Linked DNA regions of Canis lupus familiaris. The protein of the gene in region 2 interacts with the protein of the main gene of each other region in a biochemical or structural test. Links are inferred from orthologs where the notes say so. Each region holds a gene or a part of one and is shown on either strand. Other genes may lie near its edges.

Region 1 (10,224 bases), on a different chromosome or scaffold from region 2:
GTCCAAGGAGAGTTGTGCTCTTGTCTCAACTTAAAAGTCTTTCCTTGAGCAGCTCCTTGCTGATGTCTGGGCTAGAGTACAACTCAGACTCCTGTAGTGCCCCCTGTTCCTCCCCCCATCATACTCCATCATTTATTCAACAAATAGGGAGTGCTTATCGGTGCCAGGGACCGTCCAGACCCTGGCACTACACTGCATTGTAAGGGGTGGTTTCCCTGCTATACTGTGTACTCCACTGGGGAGGGACCATTTCTTTTTTTTTTTCTCAAGATTTAGAGATTTTATTTATTTATTTATTTTTAATAAAATAATTTTTATTGGTGTTCAGTTTACCAACATACAGAATAACACCCAGTGCTCATCCCGTCAAGTGCCCCCCTCAGTGCCCATCACCCACTCACCCCCACCCCCTGCCCTCCTCCCCTTCCACCACCCCCAGTTCGTTTCCCAGAGTTAGGAGTCTTTATGTTCTGTGTCCCTTTCTGATATTTCCCACACATTTCTTCTCCCTTCCCCTATATTCCCTTTCACTATTATTTATATTCCGGGAGGGACCATTTCTTCATAATTCATCACTCTTCCCCATGCCTAGCACAGTGCCTTGCAAATAGTAAGCTGTCAGGTTAGAGGACTCTTGATCTTGAGTAGGATGTACCCCCATCCCTGCAGTCAATCTGAGCCCCTTCACACTTAGTGGCCACTCTTAGCTCCTTGCCTTGAGCCAGAATCCATGTGGCTCTTTCCGTCCTTTGAGAGGCTTCAGGTACACCTAACCCCAAAATGAGTGCCCCTTCTTGAGGATCCTGGGCCGCTGGTTATCCTTTGACCTCAAAAAGTTAGGTGATGGTGCCATACAATGCCTTGAACCAGGAACTTAGGTTTCAGTGCTTGTTCACAACAGAGCTTCTGCATTTCTCCCCCAGTACTTTCTGCCCTGGTGACCAGAGGGACAGGGCTGCCTTGGAGTTGATCTGGCTCTTCACTGTCCCAGCCTCACAGTGTATGTGCCTTTCCCAGATCACACCTCCAAGTGCTAAGGAGGTCAATACCATCCTGACCTCTTAAAAACCTGGCTCCATACACTGCTGCTTCAGAGAAGGACTCATCGTCTCTGTGATCCTCTCAGCTTGCCATAGTCACAGGGTCTTCACATCCTGAAACTCAATGGGGATGCCACTGTGGAACAGCCTTCAAGTCAAGACGTCAGTGTACACTAATTCCCTCCCTCCCTTTGTCCCAGATCTTGGTCCTTACTGCTCTGGGACCTCCTGCCTTCTCAGGTACCCTTCATCATTCTCCAGCAGCCTCTCTAATACTCCTATTGCCCACTTGCAGCCCATGGGGCCGCACAGGTTTGTCTCAGTGTCTGCTCCCACTAGTCTCAGCCTCCAAATCCCTCTTACCCCCTGAGAGCACCTCAGGGTAGCTCTCAGCTCTGGGCACACGTTGTCTGTTCCCTCCATCCTTCCCTTCTGTCCACATCGAGGCTCCACTGTGTGGCACACACACCACGCACACTCCTTGGTAATGGGAATGTGAAGTCGAATAAGACAGTCTCGGGTGTTTGGAGGGAATGGGGCATTGGGTATCATGAGACATGGAGGAGGGAATGGTCCCCTGAGCAAAAAAGAGAGAAAACGGAACAGGAAAGCCTCACTGCTCAGAAGCTGTGCCTGCCAAGCCAAGTTTTGAAACATGAGCAGAGGTTCTCACTCAGGGAGACAGGATTCCAAGCGGGGGGAGCACTGTAAACAAAGAGCCAGGGCTGTCAGGGTGTGACATGTTCTAGAATCTGCCATATTTTGTGAAGCTGGAATGTAAAGTGTGAAAGAGGCAGGGAAGGGGGAGGAGGTCTGAGAGGTCATAGGGATTGGCTCAAGGAGGCTCTCGGTGTCCTGCTAGTGAGCACAGATCTTATTCTGAAGGTAGCAGTGAGCCATCTAAATTTTCCAACTGGGGAGTGACACAATCTGGTTTCCATTTTTGGAAGATTACTGTGGTTCTAGGTAGTGGCAGAGCTGTTTATTTTTCTTGTTTATGCCAGTGACCATGAGTTTGCTTATTACCCAGGTGGAGCCACACCAGGCAGATCTGCAGTTCCACATGAGGCAGACACACAGGAACATTTTTTCATCCAGGTCACGGAAGTGTGCACAGTGTTGTGCTAGGGTTTGAGGAGCTAGGCATGATGGAAAAGCAAACTATGGCTCCTGCCCCAGGACCATGTGCTGTACCTGAGGCACAGCAGAGCCTTGGTCAGACAGCCTAAAGCACCTCACTGGCAATGTGTGCTCAGAGCTGAGAGCTACCCCGAGGTGCAGGGAGAACCAGGACAGGGGGTCAGGGGAGATGGAACTCTTCAGTGGGGGCTAGGGGGGAGAGAGAACGCTCAGGTGAGAAATGGGGGAGAAAGAACCACACGGTGGGAGTCAGAGAGAGAGGTATGCAGTGAGGGGCAGCCAGTGAGACAGAGTGGTGTGCTGAAGAGAAGGGTTGAGGAGGAAGAGAGGACTCAGAGAGGGGATGGGACAAGTGGAAGGCGACACGGAGCTAAGAGGGCCAGGATGAGAAAGACTTGGTCAGGGAGGATGGCCTGTGAGGTGGTGACAGTGAGGGTCCAGGGAGTAAGCACTTTACAGTGACAGTCAGGGAAGGAGGACACTAGAGCAGTAGAAGGTGAGGATGGAAGGAGGCCTTGATGGGATCACTGGGTAAGGATATTTAGGCAGTGAAGGTGTTCCACAAAGGGGTTGTAATGAGAGAGGGGCCAAGGGGCAGGAAGTTGGGGAGGGCTGTCACTGTGGAACAGGAGATCCCCTCACCTGCAGCAGATGGGATTTGTTTGGGCCACCACGAGTAGTGGTTGAGACACAGTGACATGACCAAAATGTGTTTCCTGCAACTGGCAGAGGAGATGCTAAAATCGGGCCTGGAGGAGATAGGAGAGCAGACTTACACATTCATTCAACAAATATTTATTGAATTCCTGTTCTGTGCCAGGGTTTGTTACGGTCTAGGCATATTGTATTGAAAAGAAAAAAAAAAAAAAAGACAAAATCTTCCACCATGGAACTGAAATTGCAGTCATGGGGAGACAATGATTAAACAAATAGTGGTAATAATATTGATAAATAGCTTGACAGATGGTGCTAGGCACTAGGGAAGGTTTGCGTGTTGCTGAGAGAGGGCATGGTGGCTTGCAGTTTTAAAAGGGTGTCAGGGAAAGCCTCACTGAGAAGATGACATTTGGATCAAGACATAAAGGGCTGGAGAGTACAGGTCAAAAGCTCCTGTTGATTGAGGCATGAGGCATTATAGGGCCTGGCAGGTGGAGTGGTGTCCAAAGTAAGATACTTTATAGTAACAGTCATCAAGATGTAGCTTCAACTGGCCAATTCAATTCACGAATTGAGGCTGAAGGTCTTTCCTTTGTGACCTTCCTTCCCAGGTCCACGCCCTTGATGGTCTACAGCTCATTCTCTCCTATTCTCACAGTCCCTAGTAGGCCTGGGCTTAGGGGCTGGTTGTGATAGGAACACTGCCTAGGGAGCTCACAGTAGGAAGTTGTGGATAGCAACGTGGCAAGAGGAAGAGGGCAGTCAGTGTCCAGTCCCAGAACACATGAGCCAGTCCCACACCAGCTGGGTCCCTGGCACAGTAAGCCCCGGTCAGATAAGTGGGGGTGGGGATGCACAGAGAGCCATTGTGTGGAAGCTCTGCTGTTGGGATTGAAGGCAAAGCAGGGGCTGGCTGTGCTGTCTCAGAAAGCTCAGGGCTGGGGATTTGGGGCTGGGGTGGATTGTAGGCCTGGCCCTAGCCTTTGGTGGAGATGGTGGTTGAGTGGGTGGTGGTGTGGGGGGACAGGAGTTGAGCCTAGTCATTGTCATGGGAAAATAGCTCTCAGGATACAGCAGTGGGTGCTAGTCTGCTGAGCATAAGGGAGATGACGAGGTACGGAGCACAGCCCCAGGCAGAAGCAGGGGTGCTGCTGTCTTGACCTGGAGGCTCAACCACAGTCTCCTATCCTCACCCCACAGGATCTGCCAAGGCCATGTCTGTTCCATCGTCACTGAGCCAGTCGGCCATTAATGCCAACAGCCACGGAGGCCCTGCCCTGAGCCTACCCCTGCCCCTGCACACTGCCCACAACCAGCTGCTCAACTCCAAGCTGCAGGCTACGGCTGTGGGACCCAAGGACCTGCGCAGTGCCATGGGGGAGGGTGGTGGGCCTGAGCCAGGCCCTGCCAATGCCAAATGGCTAAAAGAGGGCCAGAACCAGCTCCGGCGGGCTGCCACAGCCCATCGTGACCAGAACCGCAACGTGACCTTGACCCTGGCAGAGGAGGCCAGTCAGGAGCCTGAGATGGCACCCTTGGGCCCCAAAGGCCTGATGCACCTGTACTCTGAGCTGGAGCTCTCCGCCCACAATGCAGCCAACAGAGGGCTCCGAGGATCTGGCCTGATCATCAGCACCCAAGAGCACGGGCCAGATGAAGGAGAGGAGAAGGCGGCAGGGGAGGCTGAGGAGGATGATGAGGAAGAGGACGAAGAGGAGGAGGAGGAGGACTTGTCTTCTCCCCAAGGGCTGCCCGAGCCCCCGGAGAGTGTGGAGGTGCCCCCCAGACCCCAGGCCCTTGCAGACGGTCCCCGAGAACACAGCAAGAGTGCCAGCCTCCTGTTTGGCATGCGGAACAGTGCAGCCAGTGATGAGGACTCCAGCTGGGCTACCTTATCCCAGGGCAGCCCCTCCTACGGCTCCCCAGAGGACACAGGTACTTTATGGAGCTTGACATGGGGGATCCGGGAGGGCAAGTGGACAGGGGTCAGGCCTCTCCAAATCAATGTCAGGGCCAGCCCAGACATGAGCCACAGAGCTGGTGTCCTAATAGTCCTCAGCAGGCCATATCCAGGTTTTCCTGGATGAAACCATTCCTGATATTCAGAGTGTTTGCACAAGTTGCTAGGTTCATCCATCATGCACACACTGATGGACGGTGGACTTAGGTGCATTTATGGAGCACTTACCAGGTACTGCCCTATGCTTATTATTAATTGTATTCCATCCTCACAGTCATACTGTGAGTTAGATGCTCTTATGATGCCCATACATCATACATAGTAGGCCTGGAGAGGTTAAGTAGCTTTTCCAAGCCACAGACAGTCTGGGATCATAGTAGAACTGAGTCTAGACCTGAGCTCTTGTCCTTGCCTATCCTGCCACTGATGCACACAGCACGATGAGCCAGATGAGCTGACTTAAGTCAGCTTTTAACAGGCCAGATCTGGAGGCAACAGCAGCACCTCCCCACAGATGTCTACTTGGAAAGACTGAGGTCGGTTGTGTGCAGAGCACTACTCTGGGCTTTGTAAGGATACCGTTTTGTATTCTTTGTATCAGGAATAGAATACTAACTAAAAATTAGGAAATAAAAGAAGAAAGAATGAATATATCCATCTTTGTGGGGTGGGCAAGAGGGGACAATAGGTATTGGACTCCAAGGACTGATCATTAAATGTGTCCCATTTAAATAAATTGAATTTCCGTATTTCCTGATGTCACATAGAGATGCAGACAGAGCTGAGCAACAGAGGACAGAGATAATGGGTTGTAGCTACAAGCCCAGAGTTTTCTGGATTGGAAGATAAGTAAAGATTAGGAAAGACTCGGGTGGGCACCTGGCAGCAGGCACCATACCAGACCCCAAACTGTGGAGCCTTTGCAGGGGAGCATGTAGTTCATGCAGGTGAGCCAAAGGCAGTACAGCATCCCCTTTCCAAAAACTTAACATGGATATTTTCAAACATCTAGAAAAGTAGAGAGAATAGAATAATGAGCCCAATTTATCCATGACTCCATTTTAATAGTGACCAACACATGACTAATTTTGCTGCATCTATACCCTGACCTACTCTTGGGTCCTAGCCTATTTCAAAGCAGACACTCAAATCCATAAGTGTTTGTTTACTCATGCATTTCTAAACAACAAAATTCTTCTAAAAATTTTCACAAAACCATTATCATTAGTACAAAAATTCAGCAATAACTTCTTAATATTATCAAATATCCAGTCAATGTTTATAATTTCCTAATTGTTTAATAAATGACCGCCCCCCCCCACACACACACACATCCTGCTATTTAAAGTTTTGATTATTTGGATCAATAACCAGTTAGTTGGAGACCTTTCCATGGTGGATGTGTATCTTAAAGTTTCTTTGGGTCTGTATGTCATGCTTCCATTCCTCCGTCTGTCTCTCTTTATTTTTGCTTGCAGAGTGTTGTTTTAAATTAGAGACACAGTGTTATTTATCTTGGGTTTTCCAGAGTCTGGATTTGTAGACTCTCCCTGTGGTGGCATTGAGCAGGTTTCTCTTCCCCTAGATTTCCTGCAGATTTGGTAGTGAGTTCTAGAGCCTTGATCAGATTTGGATTTGAGAGGTTTTTTTTTGTGTGTGTGTGTGTGTGTGTTGCTTTTGCAAGAACGTTTCATAGGTGGTATTGAGTACTTTTATCAAAGGCAAAGTCTGGTTGCTTCTCTTTTCTGTGATGTTAGTAGCCTTCGATGGTCATTGTTTGGACCTCCTTTTAAAGGAGCAGCTGCTACTTCATTCCAGCTGGTTATCTATAGGGTTGCATGGGGGGGAAATGTCATCCAGTCAGTTCATGCCACTTTTCAAGGAAAACCAAAAACTGGACATTGATGTGAAATAGCCCAATTTCTAAATGTTAGCAGCCAGTTCTGTTTTTTTACAAAGTACCATGCAGGCCACACAAAATCTGAGTCTTGTATTTGTCTGTAGGTTGCTAGTTTGGAACTTCTGCCCTAGCTGTGGGGTATGAGACAGAGGCCAGATACTGGAGAGCCTGATTGGTCCAGGGGCTGCTGGGGTGGTCGCTGTAGTAGCTGCACATGTGAGCCGTCTGGGAGAAGGAGACCAGAACTGCCAAAGAAGTGGGAAGGGCCTGCTGGGCACAGGCATCAACCTCAGCGAGAGAGGACAGCCAAGGATCAAGCTCTGGTGGAGGCTATGGAAAGTGGAGGGAGTGGGGTGGGGCCAGCCTCGGAAAGGGTTGAGTCACTGCTTACTCTTTTGTAATTGTGGTGCTGTGATCATGAAGGCCATGGAGGAGGTCTGGGTTCCTGTAGGAATGGAGTAGCATTGGGCAAAAGTTATTTTGTCCTTCCCAGCCTAGGATCTCCACAGAGTTGTTGATTGAATAAATGAATGAATGGAAGAGTGAATGAACTTTACTACCTGTGTTGAGTTCATACTCAGTGCCAGACCTTGTCCTAAATGCTGAGAAGGCATAGCACAAGGGACAGAGGTTCCTGTCCTCATGGCGCTCACAGTCTAGGGGGTACAGAGAGAGACGGGCAGCTCTGATCCGCATGGTGAGCACTGGGATGGAAGATGTGCAGGAGGGCACTCAGCCTGTGTGCATGGGGGTGAGGGGGTGGGTCAGTTTTGATATGTGACCTTTACATGCAGGCCTGAAGAAGGAGTGGGTGATAGTTAGGTGAAACCTGAGGGAAGGAGGCTGGGCTTGTAGAGGATGAGGGGCATGAAGAGCAGGGAGAGAGAGACAAGGGGCGTGGGGGCTGGTGATCAGAAATAAGGCTCGAAGGCAGAAGGTTAGAGGCTCATAACAGCACACACACCCCGGGAGGAGTTTGAGTTCTATCCTGAGGGCAAGAGAAAATAATTAAGATTACTAAGGTAGAGAATAGTTCAGCATTTTGAAACAATCATGTGGGCTGTAGCGTGCAGTCCACATTGGAGGAGACTAGGCTGGAGGAGGGAGCCCACCTGTGAGGCTGTTGCTGTGATCCAGGTAAGAATTCCAGGTAAAAGGGAGAAGCTTGAACTACTGTAGTGACATGGGGATGGAGAAGAGGAAAGAGCATTATGTGACTCACTGACTCCCGAGCAAATGGCTATACCTGTTTCACCATGACGGCATGCACAGATGAATGAATGATGCACAAACCTTTGAATTCGTGCGTCAGTGCCTGAATGAGTCGATGCAGGAGTGAAGATGTACATTCCTGAATAAATGTGTGCATGTGGCGTGGCAAAGGCCTTAGTGGGGCTGTGCTTGGAGGGAGATGTGCCAGGCTCCAGAAGGGCCTCCCAGATGGTCAGAGGGGGAGAGCAGCCCGCCCCTCCAGGACAGATCGGAAGGATGAAGCTCTTTGAAGCAGGAAGGTACAGGCTAACAGGGATGGCAGATGGATTGGTGTGTGACTCAGTCAGAAGATGGTGAATTGGTCCCCAGATTCAAGAGGTGTGTGACCCTTCATGAAGAAGGGTATGTCTGTGGAGGGCACGGTTGCTCTTGCTGTTGGTGCTCCTGAAAGGTTCCACAGGAGAGCCCGGAAGGCACTGGAGGGTCCCTGGGGAAGAGCAGGCATTTTAATTCCCTGGGGTCTGAGATGAAGGCAGGGTGGAGAGAGAAGAGGTGATAATGGCTACCTAGAAGGCTGAACAGGCAAGAGCCCCTCCTCCATGGGCCTACCTCATTTGCAAACAGGGTGGTGAGGAATCTTGCTTGCATCAGGTGTGCGGCCACCTTGGGTGACCACACCTGCTCCCAGCCCCTCTGTGTGCCTGGTTGCCCAGCAGCCTGGGTCTGGGGACTGCCTGTATCCTCAGTGCTGCCTCTTGGACCAGTCAGGATTCCTGGTTTCCCTGGTAACGGGAAGCACGTCAGCAGTCTGGGCGCTCCCAACCGTCCTGGTGCTGCGGTTGCCGAGGAGACGCTGCAGCCTAGCTGGGCCCTGGCAGGTGAGGGGGGCTGTGCAGGGAAGCCCCAAGCCCAGCCTCAAGCTTGCTGGGGCCCAGCCTTCAAGGCCCACTTTTGGGCTCAAACTGCAGGGCAGGTCCTGGGCAGGGGAGGGATCCCCGGGAGCTCTGAAGCCACACCCTTTTTGTGCTGAGAGCTAGTCTTTGCAGGGCCCCAGGTGGCTGAGGTATTCCTGAGGGGCTGAGTTTCCTGGTGTCCTCCAGACTAGGTTTGACTGTGGCACTCTGATGCCCATTACGGGGTGGGATGGAGATTCAGAATTGGGGGAGGGGAGTCAGGATTAGAAAGAAGAAATGTGGGCAGGAAGGGCTAGGGTCTTATGAGGACCCTCTATTCCCCCCCCCCCACGGAGGTCCCATGGTGGTCCTGGCCCCTCCTTAGTGAGCGCCAGGCGGGGGAGGATCTTGCCTGGCAGGCGCTCTGCCCTGGTGAGAAGGGGGCGGGATGAGCTTTTCTCTGCAGCCCAGCACCAGGCTGTGAGCCCAGCTGGCTGGGCTGGAGGGGCTGTGAGGAGGGAGGGTGGAGGCAGGAGGGGCTGGGAACCAGCGCCATGTTCTCCCAGGACTTTTTCCTGGCCATCATCCTTCAGGACAGCAGCCCAGGTGAGGGGTAGCATGAGGCTGGGCAGAATATGAGGTGGGGCTGGGTAGGGAGGAGAGGCAGAGGAGGCATAAGCTGGGTTACAGGGCTGGAGTGGTGTGGCTCTGCTGGAAGAAGAGGGGTGTATGTCACAGGTATACGTGCATGTGCATAAGACGTTTGCCTGCATCTGTGTGTGGCAGGGGTCAAGGTGTGAGTGTGTGTGGTATCTGCACACACGAGGCAGAGGTTGACTGAGTGTGCATTCACTATCTGTGTGGTACCCACACATGTGTTGGGGGTTGTTGTGGGTGTGGTCTCTGCACACATGTGGTAGGAGCTGATACATATAACCGTGTGTGTGCATACCTCTGTATGGTGACTTCGTTAAGGTATGGCTGGAGTTGGGTTGTATGTGTGTTTGCCCCTGCACATGTGTGTGCACCTGTGATACCCACCGTCTCTGCTGGTATTTTCTGTGTGTGTACACCCTTGTGTTTGTGGTGGCTGCACAGGTGTGTAGTAGGGCTTATATGTGTTGTGTGTTTGAGTGCACGTGTGTGTGCAAGAGCTGACAAGTGTGTGTGTGCCTGAGATATGGGCATATATGATAGGAGGTCAGTTAGGGTCACCCAGCCTCCTTCTCCTCTCTCTGTCTTCCTCCTTCCCTCTATGTGGGCACATTAGCCAGGAGCAGGGTCCAGGAGGAGACCTGAGTCATGTCCCCTGCTGGTGGTCCCCCATGTTGTGGCTCCCGACTGCAAGCTCTCGGAGGAAGCAGGAACTTTGTGCTGGAACCCTTCCCCCATCCCTTCCTGTCCACCATGGGATCTCCACGA
Region 2 (10,324 bases):
TTCTTTCCTATATATTATCCTCAAAGTAGCCCCTTTCCTATACATGAAGTAACCAAGGCCTAGAGAAATAAAGTGACTTGCCCAAGGTCACAGTTTTTAAGTTTATATTATACAAACTGAAACCAAGCCTCTGGGTTCCAGATCCACCACACTACCTCTCTCTGAGCAAAACTCCACAGTAAATGTAACACTTATTTAATAATGGAGGATAGATTGATATTTTTAAATATGTCTGCTTTGCCATCCTTACAGCTAAATTATTTCCCAAAATAACATTTTGCTTGTGGCTAGTCAAACACCAGTCAAAACCGTCAAGTCATTGCAATCTATCTGTCCTTCCCCTCTCCTGCTCTCCATTTCTCTCCTGAACTCTGCCACTTCTTCCAACCAGTGCTCTGGCTACCACCTACTGAAGACCCACACGGTTGTGCATTCTAACAGATGCTGGGTGGCCACAGATAGCGTGATCATAAGCTCCTCTTAGGGATTGTGATTTAAGTAATTAAAAATCTTTTAATGCCTACTATATCAATCTTGTGGGCATTTACCAATCACTCCTAACAGTTGGTAGTGATGACTGAGATATGCTGACTCCCAAGAGTGCAAACTGCAGGGCAGAACAGTGTGAAAGAAACACCGCTGTATGATTACCCTGCAGGAAGCACCAGAGAGAGATGGGCAGGAGAGCCAAGGGAGGCAGGACAAGGGGTCGGTCTATTCCACCCTAGGTGAGGGATCCTCTATTCTCCTTCTGTTCTCCCCTTTGCCACAGACATGGAGGTGCGCAGGAGCCAGACACTACAACAGGCTCCAGGCCTGCAGGAGAGACTCAGGAAGGTGTGGCAGCTCAAAGACAAGAGGTCAGTGCACAGGATGGCATTCCAGGCACAGAGCATCTGGAAGATGAACCGAACTGAAACTGAATAGACCTCCTCACCAGGTGACTTCAGGCAACTTACCCAACCCCTCTAAGTGTCTGCTCTCATTTCTTTCATTCATTTAACAAGTATTTATTAGACACCTACCATGGGCAAGGTACTAGGGATACAGTAACAAACAAAAGTAGATTTTTACTTTTATTTTTAAAAAATATCTTATTCATGAGAGATACACAGAGAGGCAGAAGCAGACTCCCTGCAGGGGGCCTGATGTGGGACTCGATCCCAGGACCCCGGGATCATGACCTTAGCCAAAGGCAGACACCCAACCAATGAGGCACCCAGACTCCCCCAAAAATATATTTTTAAAACCCCACCTCGTAGCACTTACATTCTGCTAAAGGAAGACAAACAATAAACAGGTATAAAATTCAAATCCACAGTATATAGACGGCAGTATGTGATCTGATGAAAAAATAAAGCAGAGTCAGGGGGAAAGGGAATACCCCAAGAGAGGTCAGGGCCACAGCTGAGCAAAGAGCCAGGAAATGAGGAAGCAAACCACGTGGGCATCTGGAGGCAGAGGCCGGGGGAGGGGATGCCTGGTGTGCTCAAGAACAGTACGAGGCCAGTGTGACAGAGGGCGGGCGTGAAGGACACAGGACTCTGTTGGAGATGGAATATGGTGGCAGCAGCAGGGCCAGGCTGAGCAGACCCTTTCAAGATTCCCCAAGAGCTGGGGCATGTGCAGGCAGGCGGGAAGCCATTGGAAGGTTCTGAGCACAGGACTAATAAAACTTGCCCTGACATTTTAAGAAGAGAAACAAGTGAAGAACCGGGAGCAGGAAGACAAGGCAGACAGGATGCTGGGAGGCCGGTTACAAGGCCACTGCGCTGAGTTGGATACGAGATGGTGTCAGCATGGACCAGGCTGGTGGCATGGAGATGCTGGGAAATGGTGGGACTCTGGGCATACTTTGAGGTACAGCTGACAGAACTCCCCTTGATGGCTCAGACATGGAGCGTAGGAGAAAGAAAGGAGTCAGGGATGGCTGAGCAGCCAAAAGGAAGGCCAGGCTGTGGACACGTGAGGAAGGAATGGCTTAGGAAAGAACTGGGGAACAGTGTGAGATGTGCTAAGTTTGAGATGCCTGGTAGACTTCCAGACAGCAACGCCAACCAGGCAGCTGAAGACATGGGACCAGTCTGGGGAAAGGCTGGGGTGGGAGGTATACATTTTGGGGTCATCTGTATCCCTGAGCTCCTGTCGTCATTGATGGTATGTGGCTTGGGGTAACCATGGGCTAAGCAACTAGTGGTGCGTGGGCCACAACTATCCAGTCTTGTGCCTTCCCCATCCCCCATCTCCTATTGATGAGCAAGCAAGCTTGCTCACTGCAGTGTGACAGTCACTGTACCTAAACACCTCTCTCTTCAAGGGACCACAGGGCTCAGGAAATGCAAGGGGCTCGACACTGGGTGGGCTCGACATTGGGTGGGCTGTCCTGGCTTCCAAACTTCAGGTCTTCCCTCATACCACTCATTTTGACTTATTTCCATAATCCAGTGAAAGAGAAAGGAAAGTTAAAACTTTTCCCAAGAGTAAATGTAAATCTGAATAAAGAAAGAACTAGCTGGAGTTTGAACCTCAATTTTATTTAAAAATAAAATAAAACAGACTCGGAGTAGTGACTTCTCATTTTCATGTGACTGACACATTCCAACTGTGGATTTTAGATCTTGGAGTTGGTATGCCACATTCCTTCTAGAAATAAATCAGAATAAGTATCAGGAATCCTGAGAAACAGTGGATTCTGATTTGGGTTCCATTCTCCCTTGTGAGATCATAGAGCCAAAAATCACATTTAAAAATGTTGATTCTGGGGATGGCAGGGAATGTAGTCACCATTCTGGGTCTAGAAGGGGAAGGAAAACCACACAGTGTCCCATGAAGCTGTCTCCAGGGGTGCTCAGAAGGCAGCCTCTGAGGTATGGAGTAACTAAATGTTTACTAAACTATGAATTCAGTACACTTCTCATGTAAGAAGTTTTTTTGAAAAGGTAAAAACAGAGGTGAAGTGGGTCTACCACAACAGCCAGCAGAATAGCTTGCCTGGTGCTAGAACAATACAGTCCTGAAGTCAATGGCAGGCAAAATAAATACCCTAGCTGTCTGGAAAATGCTGGCCCAACTACTCAAGCTCTCAGGATTCTGCAACTGTGTGGGTTTGGCCCCGGCAAATCATTACAATCGTCAGCACGTTCTAGAGTGAGATCATCTGCAGAGATTCCTTATGAAATGTGATCGGCGTTCTCCGGCACTCCCGCAACTGGGGTGTGCTGAGGACACTTCACATTTTTCTCAAGAGGTCAGCTGTCAGCTTTTCGACATGCTCTTCTGAAGTAGCCCACTCAACGGGCACCCTGGTACCAATATCAGGCCTGCACCAAGCTAGCTTGCTTGTTTTTCCTCCCTTATTAAATCCCCTGAAAACAAACTCTGTCAACTGCTTACCTATTAAGGCCTTACTGTGTGTCAAACAGTTTTAGGCACAAAGGGAGACAAAGTTAAAAACCCAGGAGACCTGGAAGCTCTCAAGGAACTCTGTCCATGTTAAAATCAGACTTCTTTTTAAAATGAATGTGGCCCTTGTGCTCTCGCGGTTGGGGTGTGTGCATGGAGGAGTTTGTGCACTCATGGGCCTGTGAACACGTGTGCAGAGGCTGATGGCGCTGACCCGGGTCCTCTGCCAGTATGCTCATGTAGAAAGAACGATATAATGTATAAAGTAAGTTCATGTCATCTCATTTAATTCTAATAGCATTCTAGACTTTCTTACAGAAAATTCATACAGAAAATTGAGACTAAAAGAAGATCAAGAAACTTGCCAAGTCCCCACAAGCCACACATGGGAGAACCTGGGTTATAAACCGATGCCCCTACCCTCACCCGTCCCCAGGAGGAGGGGCTGTTGGGGTGAGTGATCATGGCTATAGTTTAACCTCCCACGTTGCTTCTGGTCCACCTGCCTGAACTTGAACTACAGCTTCTGGCTCTGGATTTCTTTCCTGCCTGTACCCCCTTGCCTTTGCCTCCAACTTCCCATCTCCATAATGACAGTCTGTCGGTTTTCTCCAAGCCCATGGTTCTGAAAGTCTGGTCTCCAGACCTACAGCATCAGAATCACCTGTGGACTTGCTAGAAATGCAGAACCTCAAGCCAACCCCAGACCTACTGGATCTGAGCCTCTGGGAGTGGGGCCTGCAATCTGGGCTTTCCTGGACATTCCAGGTGATTCTACTGAAGGCTACAGCTTGAGCACCACCCTGACCTACACTGACCTACACTGACCAGGCTAGCTCCCTGAGAGTGCCTGTGTGGGCCCATCATGATCACTTGGCCTCCACACATGTAAATCCCAGGACTAAAGAAGAAAGCGATTTGTCCAGCACATGCAGCAGTCACAAAATGCAATCATTCCCAACAAAGTTCTTGAGGACCAGCTTAGGGAAAGCTGGAAGCATAGGTAACAGACTTCCCCTTTCTGGTCTACTTTCTGCAGCTGGCCCCACTTTCTCTGTTCGGCACTGCAGTGGCCTTCAACCTGACCCCCTTCCCACTCATCAGACCCAGTCTGTGGGCTAGGAGCTCACCAAAGTGGGAACAGGCTTGTTGATACTTATCCCTCTTGCCTAACTGGGAAAGGAGGTGAACAGCTCCACACTCTGCTCAAGACAATTAGTTAAGGCTTACTCCATCTAGAATAAATGCTTACAATAAGATATGAACCTCACAACTATATTACTTTCTACAATCCCCAAAACTCCTTTCTCAGACGGATCAGAAAAGCTAATTTTCAAATTGGGATTAGAACCCGGGACTCCCAACTCCCTCTCTATGGACCTATCTACTGTAACACATCAAGCATAAAACAAATTCCTGTTAGTTATCTAATCAAGCTAAAATAAAACAGTAAGTCCTGGTCATTGTATAAGGGCACGGGCCCATGTCACCAGAGCATACTGCCACAAGGAAAGAATGTCCTTTTCATAAGCCCGGTCCATTAGAAATCATGCAGAGACACTCTCTTAAACAAAGGATAACTTCCTAGATCCAAAGCTCCAAGTTTACAGGAAGGGCGAGGGACAATCTTTATAGCCTGCTTTTCTTCATGCAGATCTGGGGATCCTCTCATCTACTCCCTTGATTTTGCTTAAAAGGTCTCTAATTTCTTTCTAGAAATAATGAAAGGTGGTTATTCTATTATCATTTTAATGTCTATTGCAGCACCGTTCTTCGGAGGGAACAAAAAAGGCCTGTAGAGACAGAACTGAGGTCCCCACACAATCACCCCCTTGCCAATCGATATGGTATTTACACTCTGTTCTAAAATATACCGAAATTCCATTTGAGAAACGAGAGGCTGCCGGAGGTTAGGAGCAGACACACACATACACACTCTCTTCCATATGTTCCAAAAGGTGGAAATATGCACACGAATGATCAGATCACCCTCCCATTCCGCCTCCTTTATTTTCATTTCTTAGAAACTATCTCCGTTGGAACATCCCTTCCCACATTCATACCCAGAGACAGATCCGTGGAGAGGAGATGGAGGAAAGAGAAGGAATAAGATTCACAAAAGACTAATTTGGAGCATTGATAATTACAGCAGCTGAAGAGCTAACGAAAGCAGAGAAGGACCCTGTAACAAAACACCATCAGGGCACTTCCCAGGAAACTGCCCAGGCACAAGATTACTATTAACAATGAGGAAAAAAATCAGAGCCAAAATCAAATCTCAACTAAGCAGGCAGACTTACAGAATTTTTCACCTTCACTGCTACGATTAGCATTTTTTTTAAAAGAGCACTAGACTCCGTGAGTTTGACAAAGGAAGAAAAACAAAAGATAGCAAGAGACTCATTCTAGATAAACAGTTGCTATTCTGCATTCATAACTCTACACCAGCCACAGCAGCTCGAATGAGGCACAAGGTGGGGTCCTCAGCAAATTTACACACGATCAAACCAATTATCCACGCTGCACTTGTGCATGCAGTAAACACCCTCGACCTGCACCACCTCTCTGCTTCCCACCCCCAAAACCGAGATCGACCCCACCAAATGCAGAAAAGAACCCTTTTTTGGGTGAGAACCAGCTAGAGCCTAAGCTGTCATTACACAGCAAAAACCTAGCGAGAACAAAAACCCAGCAGCAGACTGATGTAGGAAGCCCAGAACGTACCTGAATTCTTCAAATGCAAACATGACCTAGTCAGAGACAATTTCCTTAGATTGTCTGGTAGCCTTTTTGGTTCGGAGGACAACCATTTAGTCAGTCAGATGGTGCAAAGTGCAGAAAAAAGAGGCGGGGTTTCCACACCCCCCCAATATTCTGAAGTAAAAGGCTTTCTGCAGACAGGGGCCTGCAGCCTCCAGCTCCGCCAGCTGCTGACAAGCGGCAGCTAACAGGGGAGGCAGCTAGAGGACCATGTGATCATTCCAGCAAGTCTGATTAATGCAGTGTATGCTTAGGCTCCAGGCTGGGAACTGGATTAGCCCAGAGAAATAAGTCGAACCCCTGGGCATGCCTGGCATCCTGGGTGAATCACATATACGTTCCCCACCCCACCCCCCCACCCCCCACACACACCCAGCCAGAAATTTGCAGGTTGGGAAATGGGAGGCCAAGGCCTAAAGGAATGTCACCAGCTCCACGGTGACCTGCCCATTACCCCATCTTGGGTGGCTGCTGCTGTCACCATCAGGTATGGCCAGTGTGGTCAGTGAACAGGACAGAGTGTTACTCATGTTACTGAAAATTCCGCAGAATTCCACTATTGAGCATTTGTTCAGCACAAATGCATAAACTGCTTCAGAACCACAGAAGTCACATTCTATACTTACCACTTTACCATGAACAACATGACCTTCTAGGTCAACTGTGATGACTGATCTCATTTACTTAACTATTCATTTATTGAGTGTCTAGTGTGTACCAGGCTCTTATCAATTCCTTGAGGTACAAAAATTACCATAACAATTTCAGAACAGAAGTTAAGAAAAAGGAAAAGAGACGTCAGAGAAGAAAGAAAGAAAGAAAGAAAGAAAGAAAGAAAGAAAGAAAGAAAGAAAGAAAGAAAAGAAAGAAAAGAAGGAAGGAAAGAAAGAAAGAAAGAAAGAAAGAAAGAAAGAAAGAAAGAAAGAAAGAAAGAAAGAAAGAAAGAAAGAAAGAAAGAAAGAAAGATGTTTACCGGTTTGTAAAGCCCAAGCTGGCAAGATTTGGCTGTATTCTGAAACTTGCCATTATGGAGATCTTCAGCATTTAGAGCGCAAATCTTTATAAAATAAGGGAGACAGATCTCAAATAAAAACCTGTGAGTCACTCTTGAGTTTCTTACTCCCTCACAACACAGGAACAATCAGTCGCTAATTCTGATTGTACCTCCAAGAGGTTTCTTTGAGTCCAGCCCCTACCATCCCAGGCCCTTAGCACTTCTCAGGCGGCCTTGCACCTTATAACCGGTCTTCCTCACAGTCCTTCTCTAAAAAATCAGCCCAAGCCATTTTCTAAATCTGATTCTGCTGCCTCCGCCCTTTCCAACCCTGCAGTAGTTCCTTGGTACCCATGGGATTATGCAAAAATGCCTCAGCCCTGCAAAGAAAGTCTTATTTCTCCCACTCTTTCTTCCATCAAAACTCTTCACAAACCCCCAAATTCAGCCAGACATTCCAGGTCCCCAGATATGCTAGGACCTCCTTCCTTTGGTCCATGAGGCAACTGGCCCAGATTATTCCTTGTTTCGTGTGTGACGTGTGTCCTCTCACGCAAGGCTCTGCCCCCAGGAGCCTGCACTACCCCCAGGACAGTCAGCCACTGCCACTGAGCCATGGCATAGCACTCCGCCTGCCCCACACATCCCTGAGGCCCGTAGGGCAGTGACGTGCATTCCCAGAGCCTGGCACAGAGCTGGACAAAGAGAAGCCATTCAGTAAAGGTCCAGGGCAGGAACCTCCTTTTGCCTCTGCCTCTGGGATACAGGTATCCACACATGCAGGTGCTCTGGGATGACTGTGCTCCTCCCCGTGTTCTCTCTACCTTGAAGGGCAGCCAGAGTCCAGAGCCCAACTCAAAGAAATGAAGTGGTAGCGGCAGGCTGACTAGTGAGGACAATTAGGGGGAATCCTAGGATCCCTCAAACCATGCAGCAATCATCAACTGAGCCGATCCGGAATGCCCTGCCCAGTATTCCTGACAAGTCTTTGCAAGGGACCCTTCAGTGACAGCAGCTTCTTGGCAGCATCACGATACAACAGAAAACACAAGAGATACAGAGTCCTTAAATAACCGAGTTCACGTCCCAGATCTGCCACTTCCTGACTCCATGATCACTGACAGGCGACTCGAGCTGTCCGCGCCCTGCTCCCTGCACAAACAGTTGGAATAACGCAGATGCTGCCTAGGCCTCTCACAGGACAGCTGTCGCGACCCCACAGGGTAGCACCGGGGAGCTGTGAGAGGTCCTTGTTGAGTACATCAAGTTGTGGAAGGTTCTTCATCATCATTACCGCTTCACAAGGCCACCTCCCCTTGAACAGTGCTGATAGCTGGACGATCTTCTCTGTGAGATCACCATCCCCAGGGAAGTGTTTGGTCTGCATGAGGGGTAGGGGTCAAGGTATTTCTATCTTAGGATTTTCAGGACAAGGGGTGTGTGTGTGTGTATACATACACATATATACCATGTATGGATATATGTATAAGATAACTATCCTAAATTCTAAGTTAAAAAAAAGCAATAAAGACTACCCAAATCTTAGAAAAAGCAATTCACCCACACCAAATGCAATTACATGATGTTGTTATTTATTAAATTAAACTACCTGGGTACAGTCATAGATGGGCTGAGGTAGGGGCAGCTGGTAATCAGCCAGACACAATCTTCTTGAGGGAAAGGAGATTTAGAGTATTCTGTTACCACTCCTTTGCAGCCTCAAGGACAGGTCTAGTAAACAGCAGACACTCCATAATTACTTCTGATTGACAGATGTGTTAGTTGGTCTAATGGCCAGAACCCACATTCTTGGCACTATCTGCAAAGTATGGGGAAGAGAAGCAGTGGTCTTAACTCCTAGACATTTGTCATGGAGTTACAGACGTTTGTAAGAACTGGCCCGATGTGCTTTAGCCCGGCCATGAGGCAGGTCCACTGTGGCACAGGCCCAGGGGATAGACACCTCTCAACTTCATGGCTGGTTTCCACCAGTAACACAAGAATCTCCTCTTGGAATGCTGGTTATACCTCTCAGGGCAATTCATAAGGTCCTAGTACAAGCAGAATTGCTGAGAACTTGTGAAAAATCTTCAAATCCCAGCACCAAATGTATGGTAGACAAAATTTTATGAGATTCCCCAATTTACTAATAAGGAAACAGGCCAAAGAGGTTAAGTAACTTGCCTAAGGTCATACTGCTGTCCAATGGCAGAGCAATGACTTGGAGCCAGGCCGGCTTAATGCCAGTGCTTGCAGACCCCATGCCCTCTCAGGTCCCAATACCAATGATCCTACCGCCTCTGGCGGCCTCCAGAGACAGCTGATCCCATAGACCACCAGGCAGCCTGTAGCTCCAGAACAGGGCTGGGCCACAGTGACCGTCTGGGGTTCCTCTACCCAGCCAGTCCTAGCTAGTGCCTGAATGTCATGGCCAGGCATGCATGTCTGCACCGCCTGCTTCAGCTGCCGCAGGAAGGAAGGGCTAGGATCCTGGGTTGACACAGGACCAGACTAGGAACGGAGTCGGCTTCAAACCCTAGGCACTTCATTTGATCCCTGATAGCACCAGAGTGTCAGGAAGAGGGACACAAGTGAGGGTCCGTGCCTCCTGACAGCTCCACTCTCTGAATAAGCTGGGAAGGCACTTCAGTGACCAAAGAATGTTAAAAAAATGAAAGGTCATCCCAGGTCATTTACTGATGACTCAAGGCTCAGACAAAGCCTGTTCCTGCCATGGAACCTTTTGTTTTTTTTTTTGTTTTTTTTAAATGTCACTTACATGGGACATAAAGCTGATACATGTAGAGGGTTCTGGTTGAAGGAGGAGTGGAAGAGCCCACAGTCCCTGCCCCCAGGCTTTCCCCTCCCTCCAGCAGGGGCAGGCCAGACTCAGCCAGAGAACACCTGGCTCAAATGACTGGCAGCCCCATCTGACATTCTGGATGGGGTGGAGCTCTCTGAGCTCGGGTCATCACACTCACCCTAGTTAATCTGGACTCACCCCCTTTTTTTAGTCTCATCCTAAGAATAAAAGCCCCCCCCCCCCCCCACCTGGATCCTGCTGTCATCATAGAACACTGTCCTCCTGCAGTGACTGGCCATGAGAGCTCCCTGAGGAGTCCCCAGAGAAACAAATGTGGAGATACTGAATACAAATGCTATCATTAA

Evidence for each region.
Region 1: the proteins of EVL (region 2) and APBB1 form a complex in vitro, tested with the Homo sapiens proteins (2 studies listed by BioGRID). The link is inferred for Canis lupus familiaris from reciprocal best matches to the Homo sapiens genes EVL and APBB1.

Annotation. Positions count from the first base shown.
Region 1 is NC_049242.1:30,236,295-30,246,518, reverse strand, and holds part of APBB1 (amyloid-beta A4 precursor protein-binding family B member 1), read left to right. Parts: intron 1-4,037; 5' UTR 4,038-4,051; coding exon 4,052-4,772; intron 4,773-6,419; exon of another isoform or gene 6,420-6,623; intron 6,624-8,518; exon of another isoform or gene 8,519-8,679; intron 8,680-8,767; exon of another isoform or gene 8,768-8,787; intron 8,788-9,384; exon of another isoform or gene 9,385-9,408; intron 9,409-10,224. UniProt on the Homo sapiens protein: Transcription coregulator that can have both coactivator and corepressor functions. Adapter protein that forms a transcriptionally active complex with the gamma-secretase-derived amyloid precursor protein (APP) intracellular domain.
Region 2 is NC_049229.1:68,759,036-68,769,359, reverse strand, and holds the start of EVL (ena/VASP-like protein), read right to left. Parts: upstream 6,340-10,324; 5' UTR 6,150-6,339; coding exon 6,127-6,149; intron 1-6,126. UniProt on the Homo sapiens protein: Ena/VASP proteins are actin-associated proteins involved in a range of processes dependent on cytoskeleton remodeling and cell polarity such as axon guidance and lamellipodial and filopodial dynamics in migrating cells.